Solanum lycopersicum: one gene and its partners. The protein of the gene in region 3 interacts with the protein of the main gene of each other region in a pairwise test. Links are inferred from orthologs where the notes say so. Each region holds a gene or a part of one and is shown on either strand. Other genes may lie near its edges.

Region 1 (3,996 bases), about 38 Mb from region 3:
TTTCCTATGTTGTTCAAACTCTTCAAAAATGTCGGGTGCGTGTAAGATATTCCAAAAGTAGTGCATTTTTCGAGAATCCGACGCGGTTATGGCATATTTTTGGAAGCCCGAGCAACAGATATTTTTTCTGCTAGAGCATCTACAGCAGATAACAATATATAGGACGTTTGCTTCAACTAGAAACTCTCAGATATATTATTTAGATTGTTGGCATAAAGCATGGGTAATGATTTTTGAATTGTCCTGGATGAAGCAGCAAAAAGTATAGGAACTGTCGAATAAAACATGTTACCTCAACACCACTTGGAATCATAGAAGAAAAATTAGACCAGTTAGATTAAGACCCTCTTTGTTCATCAATGACATTTCAAGCAACATGTTACCACCGGTGTAGCTTCATACAAGCAAAGCCAAAAGGTTAAGCCTTCAAGAGATGCCTATTCTTTATTCTATATTGAAGCTACGTATTTATGTAACAGAGAAATTTAATGAGGAAGAAAATGGAAAAGAGATATAATGCTCTTTAAGTAAAAATAAAGGCTTCTTACTGGTGTATCTGCCATAGGGACATTAAGAGCTTCCATTGTACCACATAGATATCCATGATCAAGGTCACAACCCTGAATACGCACATTTACTCTCCAAGCTTCATCTTTTTGCTGACTCGAAACGTTCTGAGTTCCAGAAAATGCCTGGAACAAAGCAATGCAGTGAGAAAAGATGAAACTTCACACTTGTGTGACAAGCTGAACAACCATAAACTGTAAGTTGTAATGCTTCACGGCTAAATTAATAGCCAAAAGGTACAATCAAAAGGAAGGATTGAACCACCATAATGCCCTTTCCACAATTTGCCAAAACGTTAGAGTGAGAAGAATGCCCCCTTGCAGCGGCTGATCAATGAACCTATCAGATGGACGCCCATAGGCCATAAAGCTTTGGTGGAAGGTGACTTTTAAAATAGCATACATGGCCTCACCTCAGGGTTTTTGCAGCTAGGGAAAGAACAAGGTGTGTAGGCTACTAAATTACTTTTCTAGGGTCTCAAACAAGCTTAAAAAAAAAGGGAAGTTGAAGCTCCTTGATGCTTACTGAAGTTAGATTTCAATCAAAGCAAACACGACTACTCTCAGTCTACCAAGAGGTTAGGCAGCAACATTCTGATCATTCTCATCTTATACAATTTGGATATGATACAAGCAGCAAAAGAACAAAATTTTCAAAATCAGGTATAGGGGAGCTCAGATTCTTCTCTGGTATTAAATTCGCAAGAATATAGAAAGAATCATAATTCCATTGTTGAAGGACGAAAAAAAAAAAGATAGAAACAACAGGAGCAGTCGGAAAAAATTAAAAAAGCAGAAGCTCACCTGTCCAACACTTAGAAGTGTACAGACTGAAGGCAAAGTATTTCCTGAAGTTCCACCTTTGCAGTTGGAAGAAAACAAGCATTTCAGTCGTTCAACAACTACTTACTACTCGGAAATACAAATCACATAATTTGACACCAAAAAGTACAAAACTTTAGCAACACAACTTACAAACACCACTAATATTAATTACAACAACATACCCAATGTAATTTCCAGAAGTTCAACATTTGCAGTTGAAAGAAAACGAGCATTTCAGTCGTGCAAAAACGAGCATTTCGGTCGTGCAACAACTACTTACTGCTCAGAAATACAATTCACAGATAATTTGACACCAAAAATTACAAAAATTTAGCAACACTACATACTAACACCACAATAATAACAACAACAATAAGCAACATGCCCACTGTAATTTCCTGAAGTTCCACTTTTGCAGTTGAAAGAAAACAAGCATTTCAGTCTTGCAACAGCTACTTACTACTCAGCAGACACAAATCACATAATTTGACACCAAAAAGTACAAAACTTTAGCAACACTACATACTAACACCACCACCACCTCCACCACCAATAACAACATACTCAGTGTGATCCCACGAGTGGGTCTAGGGAGCATAGTGTGTACCAGAACTTTATTTTCGATAGACGTTCAGCTCAAGAAAACTACATACTAACACCAACAAAAACAAAAACAACATACCCAGTGTAATCCCACAAGTGGGTTTGGGTAGGGTAGCATGTACCAGCCCTTTATTTTACACTCCCACGAGTGAGTCTGGGGAGGATAGTGTCTCCCATACCTTTATTTCCAATAGACACTCATCTCATAAAAACTACATACTAACACCACCACCACCACAAACAACAACATCATATCCACTGTAATCCCACGAGTGAGTGTGAGGAGAGTAGTCTGTACCAGACCTTTATTTCTGATAGACATTCAGCTCAAGAAAACTACATACAAACACAATGATAATTAAACATACTATAATCATAAATTGAAGAAACCCAATTCAAATTTCACTTAAACCACCAAATTGAGCAAAGTGACCAGCCCAGATCTTTTCAAATGAAACTTCAAATAGAGAAAAATGCTAACTTTATCTGATTCTCAATGTAAAAACAAGAAACAAATAAACCCGCATTGCACTGATAAAACTAAACCCAGTTTCTACATCCATAATCAAAATTGCAACTTCGATTAAAAATAAAGATAATTTCAATCAAAAAATGATAAATTAATAGCAAATTCATTACCTGAAGGCTGCGAAAGTGCAGAAGAAGTCTCCACAACTCTCACAGGCATTTTGCTTTCGCCTCTACTGAGAATTGAGAACTGGGTCTATTTTTCATAGAAATTTATTTTTTCAGAAAATAACTATATAAAAAAAACTGTTGTTGATTTTATTTGATTTTTTGGCAATATATTTTGTTTGTCCTTTTTTAATTCCTTTTAAAAAAGAATATTTTTTTTATAATTTTAATTTTTTATTCAACTTTTTTAGGTTGCATATATTTAGGGCCCGTTTGGATGAGCTTAATAAAAGCAGCTTTAAAAAACTACTTTTGAAAGTGCTAAAATTTATTTTTAAAATAAGCAGTTATGCGTTTGGATAAAAGTGCTGAAGTTAAAAAAAAAAAGTTGTTGATGTGTTTGGCAAATAAATGTTGATAAACAGCTTTTTAAATCAAAATGTCTGAAATATCCTTAAAAGCTGTTAACATAATAAAAATTAATTAATTTATATTTTATAGCCATAAATAATTATATTTTGCTATCATTCACATATTTCTTTCTCATCACAAATTATTTATAAGAGGAATATAAACTTATTATAGATTTTAAAGATATATAATTTGAATAGATTAAAGAACGATTTACAATTTTATTTTAGTTTCATCCATAGGTAATAATAATTGTTTATCATTCACATATTTCTTTATTATCACAAATTATTTATAAGAGGAATATAAATTTTTATTTAAGTTATATGTGCAACTTATTTTACATTTTAATAATATATAATTTGAATAGATCACTTGAAAGATTTAAGATTTATTTTATTTTCATTCATTAGTAATAGTAATTGTCTATCATTCACACGTGAAAAGGGAAAAATAGAAGAAAGAGATGTTAGGGTTATGTAGGTAATTTGGAGATTGTATAAAAATATTAAGGGCAAAAAAGTAAAAATGTGGTCAACTTAAAACAGCTTATAAGCTAGGAAAAAAAAACATCCCTACCCCAGCTTTTAACTTTTGGCTTAAAATAAGTTTTTTTTAACTTAAAATAAGTTGTTTTGAGTATTGCCAAACAGCTAAATAAGTCAAAAACCAACTTTTAAATCAGTTTGACCAGTTTTTAAGCTGAGCTAAACAGGCTCTTAATTTAAAGTCAAGATAAATGAATTGAAGAAATGATAATAGATTTGCTTATTGATGGTTACATTACATTACACTAAAAAGAAGTTGATTATTGATTAGTCATACCAAATTGATTAAAATGAAAAAAAAAACATTTATATTTCAAAATTTACTTTAAAGTCCAATTTGATTTATTAAGTACTTTTATTTATCAATCATTTTATGATAATTTAACATATAATACCTAATGGAGTAA
Region 2 (4,059 bases), about 22 Mb from region 3:
CTAATCAAGCCCACGTCCACATTGACCTTCTGTAGCTTTATACCCAAGTTACTATTAGCATGCATTTCCATGTCGGATGGCCTTTTCCCATTAGTATTCCGGCTCACAGCATACATGGAGTCTATCTGGACAGATGAACCAATATATTTAACACCATTAGGTGACAGTAAAATGAAACAGGAAGGCCGTATATCCTGGAATGCATTTCCTTCAGAGTGAGCAATATCAATTAACTTCACAATCTGCCGGAATATGTGAATCCTCTCAGCTTTGTTTATCTGTGATCCCGTCGAGTTTAACCACTCTCTCAAGGTAAATCCATTGTAAGTTGAAGTGGGTCTTTGGTGATCGCTACGACTGAAAGATGCTTGATTAGAATTAGCACCTTGCTTTAAAAAAACATCAGATGATACCATTCCTGTGGAGGCTTGCTCGAAGTCATTCTTATTCTGCAGAGTAGAGGCAATATGAACTTCTTTATGAAGTGCAGGTCCTTTTGGTAAAACATCTTTGGTTTTAAGAGATCGGTTAGCAAAAAAATGAGAAAAGCTAGAAGTGGATAAAAGTTTTGATTGACTACTTCCCGGAAGTAATCTATTTCTTGGAATAATTAGGTTATGGTCTTCTGTTGATTGGGAAGACTCTGCATTAGAGCCTCCTTTGATATCTTTGTCGGATGCTTGCTTCAGCATTTTCAGCGCAAGTAAATTTATTCTTGGCAACTCCTTGGAACTTAATTGCTGAACAGCCTTGTCCGTGGATGAAGGATCTCCATCTCCCTTCAAACTTCTAGAGCCAGACCCCAATTGATAGAAACGTTGCCACTGAATTTGTGGTTTCTGAATGGTTTTTTGACTATTGGAGCATCTAAGAGAAGCTGGCTCAGAAATTTTGTAACTACACAACTTTTCAAGAGTGAGCCTTGAACTATTCAATGAGTAAGAGCTTGTACCGTGGAGCTGAGGCCCCTTCATGGACGTTACATTTCTGTTCATTCCATCACTCTCCAACATCCCTGAACTGGCAGAAGTTGATCCCTCTGGCAACTCATGACTGGTAGATGTACACTTCCCCATTGATGGTTCACCAGAATCACACTCCCTCGTTCTAGATAGCACATTCGCACCTACATCATTTGCATCTGCTTCCTCCTTTGACTTGTCCATATCATTCCAAAGGACTCTTTCAATTAAATAACCAGCTGCATTCACCTATGTTTACCCCTTGAAGGACTAGCTGAAATAAAACAAAGTACTTTGTAGTTAGACAGATTTCTACGTCTTTAACTTCGTTTTTTTATACTAAGCATGTGGAATTTCGAGGTACTAAGGAAGAAGGGAGTAAAAAAATCTCTCAAAATCTTTCCTCCTTCACCTAGTCAAGTTGGTCGAAGCACGTCTTCCAGAACTAAGATTTACAACAAAATACTCAATGTGATCCGACAAGTGGTGTCTAGCGGAGGGTGGGGTGTACACAACCTTACTCCTATATTCTGAAGATAGGGAGATTGTTTCTAATAGACCTTCGGCTCAAGTAAAGCATATAAATAACAAATATGCAAAGTAAATACAGTATTGAACATATCAATAATAGCACTACCAAAGAAGAGAGAGAAAAATATCATATGTTCATAATAAAGAACTATCCTAGCTTCGATTACTTAGACTTTCTATGAATGCTCATGTATTAAAAGTAAATCCACAACACATTCAGGGTACTCATACTACACTTCTGCCCCCTATAGATTGCAGTTGAGTTATCGCCGTTGATTTAGAGTCGTGCGGAGCAGCTCGGAGTTTCAGAGATTAGGGTGAGCTCCTGGCGTCTAGAGCTACCGGTTTCCATATGTTTTGCTAGGCTTAGTCTTTATATTGTATTCAGAGATTAGTCTGTACTTGTCTTGTATTTGTGAAAGCCTTGTACTCCTATTTTGGATTAGATGCTCAACTAACTGATGGCAGGACTTGGGATGGTTCCTGTATTGTTTTTGTTGATTATCCTTTCTCTACTTTGTTCTAAGCTCTTACTTCTTGTTGTTGGCTTCCACTTGCTAGTCGCCTAGTCCATTGCTTATCGCTTCGGGCTAAGGGTTAAGCTTACTTACTGGTGCAGTGTAGTAGGTGCCATCATGACCCGAGAACATTGGATCGTGACAGTTTGTGGGGTCTGGAGATCGCGTAGGATGTAGGCAAGTTACCCTTACCTAGGAGGCTATTTCATAACCACAACCTAACAAACATAATTGATAAAAGGGATAAAAGTAATCATAGATTTTCATTTCAGCATGAAACCAAAATCAAGAATAACGCAATTATGATATAATCACAGTTTGGGAAAAACAAACTCAATAAGGTGAAAACACTATAACCAAACAAAGAAATCCAAGACTTAAAAACAAACTAAAAAAAGTTCAATTTTTTTTACCAAATCTTAAATCACAGACACATAAAGAAATCAAAAGACTAACCTGAAACTGAAATGGGGAAAAAAGGGTAGTCTCTCCAAGAATCTGTCTAGCTCACTCATCACTATTCAAGATTCTGAAAAAAAAAACAATACTTTTCATTTGTTCAACACCCCAACTGTGCAATTATTTGTGCATTAATTTACTCTATAGATATGATGATTTATGAATCAGTCAGTCACCCCACTTGGAAAAAAAAAATTGTTTTCGCCAAATGATGTCTGTGAAAAGTGGAGCAATTCAGATATTGTTTTCGCCGGAATTGTGCTTTGTTAAAGGGCTGTTTGGCCATTAATTTATAAAATTTGAAAAAAAAGAAAAAACAAAACCTCTTATGAAAGTGATTCATTTACTTCTCTGTGCTTATATACCTTTATCCTCTAACGAAATAAAAAAAAATATGTTATTTTTTTATTTTAAAAAAAAATTGTTCATCTAGTGGTATATTTTACTTTTAATACGTATTTTTTTTTGTTGACAAAATGGAGTTGTTCTGATGATAAGTAATCCTCACTTTCAATACGAAGATTGCGAGTTCGTATTTTTTTAAACTTTTATATTCAGAAAATAATTTGCATTTTATTATTCTGATAGTTAAACTTATTTTTTATTTTTCACGATTATTTTATAAATTTATTATAGATACCCAAAAAAAATCCCAAACACAAACTAAACTACCATATATCCATAAAAATAGTTTTAAATTACAATTACCCGCAAAACTTGGTAGGCGTTTGGGGCGCTTTAGCCATGTGTTTTCATCACATGGCAGTGTTTTCGGACACGTAATTTTATGCTGATTTTATTTTATGATTTAGTAAAATGAAATCTCTAATTTCTTAAAAGTCATAATTTTTAGGAATTTTAAATAAAAATATTAATTCGCGAGTTTTTATTTTGTAAAAATAACTCACATTTATTTTATACCCATTTGTTTCATCTGTAAACAAAATTTCTAATTCATATCATTATTTTTTAAACCTTTTATATCTCATATACAAATTATTCTCGTCAATACAAATTTATTCTTCAAAACAATTCTTAATTTAACGTTTATGTTCCCCAAATCATTATTTTTTAATCAAATTTATTACTACTTCATTCAAATCAATGTTTAATAATAACAAATAATCACCATTATATTGAGTGGATAAGACTAACCATGCTGGGATTAATTGTAAAAAAAATTTTCTTAGCTACTAACAATTTGAACACTATAATTTATGTTCAATTTTATTTTTTGTTGAATTAAGGTTTAATAAATAAATATTGTTCTTCTTTAAGAATAATTTTGTAATAATGTATTACGCGATTTTATAAGTTTTGTTTATTTGGTAAGATTATATAAATAATTGGGGATAATTTTTTATACTTTTACTATTTACGGAGTTTTTATATTTATGAGAAAACATAAAACATAAAAAGTCAAAATTGTATGTCCTAACAAAATTTCAACTTCATCTCATAATTTCATATAATGATTTCAAATCATGAATTTATATGGTATGACCAAATGGGCCTTTAAAATCATGATTTTGAAATTTCAAATCATGATTTGAGATTTTCGAAATACCAAAATTGACCATGAGTTTATA
Region 3 (4,062 bases):
TTAGATTGAAAAATTCCTTATTGGTAAACATTGTACGGTGAGATTCTTGATAATCATTAGACTTTTTGTGAGATTATTGATTACTTTGAGATTCTTGCAAGTGATTTTTGAAGATTAATCAAGCAAACTTTTGGATTTTACTCTTTCTCATTGAAGTAAGTATATGAATTCTTATCTACTAGATTTGAATATTGTGTTTATGGCTATGAGTAACTAAACTCCATAACTAGGGTTGTGGGAACCATAGGCAAATAATGAGATAAACCCTAACTAAAATAACAATTCTAGAATAGTGTCTTGCATGTATTAATAATTCTTTCTATTAGAAGTCCTTTTAACGAATGGCCAACGTTAGAACTCGCCTTAATGCTACTTGCCGGACAAAGGAGGTAGATAATAGGAAAAGAATTATTAACATAGATTTAGTGTATACAATCTAATAGGCTAGTATTGATTGGTACGAGGTAATAACTTAGTCAAATATCGAATACGATGCTTAATATGAGGTAAGGATAAGGGTTAGGATAGCAACACACGTAGCCGGACCAAGGTGCGGAGTGAGATTTTTTAGATGCCGGACCAAGGATTTAGAAATACATAACTTATTACTTTGCATGCAAGATACTAGAAAAGAATTGTTATAGTTAGAATTATCAAGTTATGAACTTGTGGGAACACGTAAATCCTAGTTACTTTGATTAATTGATTAAAATCCAACATTCAAAGTTGTTAAGTGTCTCTGTCAAGTTTGTTAATTAATTTTACTCATTTAGAAATAGAAACCCCCCTTTATTGTTTTTACTTTCCAAGGAAGTCATTGACCAAACAATAGTAATAACAGGTTGAAGTTAAGTCTAGACTATTTTCCTCGTGGGAACGATCCCAACCTCACTAGTTAGGTTATTTACTTGACACGACCGCTTTACTTCTTATTTGAGAAGTAAGTTTGAGCGTATCAATGGCGTAAAAATAAAAAAAAATGAAATATTTCTCATATACAACTTTTTGACGGCAAAGGTTTGGGGAGTGTGTAAAAAGTTCTTAAAAATTAAATTTAAAATATTTTTCAAAAGCAATTTCTTTTGATGCGGGTTAAGGGTTAGATAACGTAAAAATATCTTATATGATAAACTTTTATTTGAAAAGTACATTATTTTCTTTAAATTAAAAAAATAAATTAATTAAAAACATTTTTAAAAACATTTAAGCAACAAAAGACTTTCAAAGTGTAATTGTTGGGCAAGAAAAGGGGAAAAGAGTAGTCAAAGAAGGTTGTAGAACAAAGAAAAGATGAGTTCAATTTCGTTAGAATGTTTTGATGATTTTACATAGAGAAGTTTATTCAAAGTATGTTAGGTAAATGTTGGAGAGTGAAACACCAAAAACTGTTGTGATTATTATATGAATGAAAATGTAGATCCATATTTTGCAGTATCAGCTCTTAATTCTCTCATATTCTGACACCCTTTTCTCCCTTGAAAAGATAAGAGGATGATGTCTTCACGTGATGTCCATAACTTCCTGTTAACTTGTTATTCGAGGTATGGCCTCTCTCTTTAAAATCTTGTTAAACGATTGACATCACAGTCCTTCTACAACTATTATTATTATATTTATATTTACACCCACTCAAGAATTATTATATATTATCTCTACTTGGGGTTTGATTTTTTTTTTAATTCAAAAAATTTTATCTTTTTTTATACAGAGCTGCACGACAAATGAAGATTGAAGGTTATGCTAATTTTGGGATGACACCAAATAACTATGTTTGGAAAGGAAACAATGGAGCAACTCACTTGTTTCTAGTAAACTCTCTCTCACTCTCTATTTATTGAGATTTGTAAACATACTGTGTATATGAGCTTTGACCTGTGTGTTTTTAATGCTATCGATAAATCTTTAAGAGAAATCCAAGTTGTGGTCCATTTTTTGGGAATTTCAGACCTACCAGTTTATTATTTGCTTCAGATTCAGATCAACTATAACAACAATTCACCTGAAACCTATTATTTTGTTGTTGTCTCTCAAAGCTTGTGAAAGGTAATTTCTTTCACTGATTATTTTTCTTCTGCAAATTCAACTTTTAAGGATATACTATATAGGTTGTGATTAGGTTGTTAATCCAGCTAAAACAAACTACTAGCTTACTGTGTACTATGCATATGTGTCTGCATCATCTAGTTTCTTTTGTTATATAGTTAGTTATCTAGTGCTAATTTGTGGATCCGGAATTACCTGACTTACTCAGTTAAACTCTTTTTAGATTTTCTTTTAAACATATCATCCCTCCTGGTGAAGTGGGGTGAGATTGGGAGTGGATGGAAAATGTTAAGCTGCAAATAGTGATTTGATGTTTCATATTGATGAAAGGTAGAGGCTTTACGATAAATCATCCATGTGTTTGTTCTAGTTCAACTATTGTTGATATAAAAAAGTTAAAACTTCTGTTATTATGACTTTGAGAGTGGCGGATGTTTACAGTTCCTATTTCAACTTTGTAGCTTCAATGTATAATATTAATCCTGTAGTAGTTATTTTGTATGTTCTATTTAGATTTGAGTCGAGATGTCGTCTTCAAGACCTAGCCAATCTTCCACCACTTCATCAAGATCAAAGCACAGTGCTAGGATCGTTGCACAGACCTCTATAGATGCAAAGCTGCATGCAGACTTTGAGGAGTCAGGTGATTCCTTTGACTATTCAAGCTCAGTGAGGGTTACAAGTGTCGCTGGAGATGAGGAAAAACCAAAGTCAGACAAAGTTACCACCGCCTACCTTCATCAGATCCAAAAGGGCAAGTTTATCCAGCCATTTGGTTGTCTGTTAGCCCTGGATGAGAAAACATTAAAGGTCATAGCATTCAGTGAGAATGCCCCTGAAATGCTGACCATGGTTAGCCATGCTGTTCCAAGTGTTGGTGAGCATCCAGTTCTTGGCATCGGGACTGATATCAGAACGATCTTCACTGGTCCTAGTGGCGCAGCATTGCAGAAAGCCTTGGGGTTTGGGGAGGTTTCTCTGTTAAATCCTGTCCTTGTTCACTGTAAAAATTCTGGAAAGCCATTTTATGCAATTGTTCATAGGGTTACAGGTAGCTTAATCCTTGATTTTGAGCCTGTGAAGCCCTATGAAGTACCCATGACTGCTGCAGGGGCCCTGCAGTCATATAAACTAGCAGCCAAAGCCATTACTCGCTTGCAGTCCTTGCCCAGTGGCAGTATGGAAAGACTCTGTGACACAATGGTTCAGGAGGTTTTTGAACTCACAGGTTATGACAGGGTGATGGGATATAAGTTTCACGAGGATGATCATGGAGAGGTGGTGTCTGAGATCACAAAGCCTGGCCTCGAGCCTTACCTTGGTTTACATTATCCTGCTACAGATATTCCACAGGCTGCACGGTTTTTGTTTATGAAGAATAAGGTCCGAATGATTTGTGATTGCCGAGCAAAGCATGTGAAGGTAGTCCAAGATGAGAAGCTTCCATTTGATTTAACATTGTGCGGCTCTACTCTTAGGGCCCCTCACTACTGCCATTTACAGTATATGGAGAACATGAATTCAATTGCATCACTTGTAATGGCAGTTGTGGTCAATGACGGGGATGAAGAAGGAGAAAGCTCTGATTCTTCACAATCTCAAAAAAGAAAAAGGCTATGGGGCCTGGTTGTTTGCCACAACACGACCCCAAGGTTCGTTCCCTTTCCACTGAGGTATGCATGTGAGTTTCTTGCACAAGTCTTTGCCATACACGTCAACAAGGAACTGGAATTGGAAAATCAATTCCTTGAGAAAAATATTCTGCGTACTCAGACTCTCTTGTGTGATATGCTGATGCGAGATGCTCCCCTAGGTATCGTGTCACAGAGCCCCAACATTATGGATCTTGTCAAATGTGATGGTGCGGCTTTGCTCTATAAGAATAAGATACATCGATTAGGAATGAACCCAAGTGACTTTCAGCTGCAGGATATAGTATCATGGCTTTGTGAGTATCATACAGATTCCACAGGCTTGAGTACGGATAGCTTGTATGATGCTGGTTTTCCTGGGGCTCTT

The links.
Region 1: the proteins of PHYA (region 3) and uncharacterized protein interact in a two-hybrid assay, tested with the Arabidopsis thaliana proteins (3 studies listed by BioGRID). The link is inferred for Solanum lycopersicum from reciprocal best matches to the Arabidopsis thaliana genes PHYA and AT2G37680.
Region 2: the proteins of PHYA (region 3) and protein SUPPRESSOR OF PHYA-105 1-like interact in a two-hybrid assay, tested with the Arabidopsis thaliana proteins (2 studies listed by BioGRID, with this or other methods). The link is inferred for Solanum lycopersicum from reciprocal best matches to the Arabidopsis thaliana genes PHYA and SPA1.

Annotation. Positions count from the first base shown.
Region 1 is NC_090809.1:63,431,238-63,435,233, forward strand, and holds the start of uncharacterized protein, read right to left. Parts: upstream 2,803-3,996; 5' UTR 2,683-2,802; coding exon 2,634-2,682; intron 1,427-2,633; coding exon 1,371-1,426; intron 693-1,370; coding exon 549-692; intron 1-548.
Region 2 is NC_090809.1:4,267,033-4,271,091, reverse strand, and holds the start of protein SUPPRESSOR OF PHYA-105 1-like, read right to left. Parts: upstream 2,803-4,059; 5' UTR 2,468-2,802; intron 1,237-2,467; 5' UTR 1,167-1,236; coding exon 1-1,166. UniProt on the Arabidopsis thaliana protein: Controls normal photoperiodic flowering and regulates circadian rhythms. Required for suppression of photomorphogenesis in dark-grown seedlings and for normal elongation growth of adult plants.
Region 3 is NC_090809.1:25,834,615-25,838,676, forward strand, and holds the start of PHYA (Phytochrome A), read left to right. Parts: upstream 1-1,262; 5' UTR 1,263-1,541; intron 1,542-1,708; 5' UTR 1,709-1,808; exon of another isoform or gene 1,809-2,043; intron 2,044-2,534; exon of another isoform or gene 2,535-2,556; 5' UTR 2,557-2,568; coding exon 2,569-4,062. UniProt on the Arabidopsis thaliana protein: Regulatory photoreceptor which exists in two forms that are reversibly interconvertible by light: the Pr form that absorbs maximally in the red region of the spectrum and the Pfr form that absorbs maximally in the far-red region.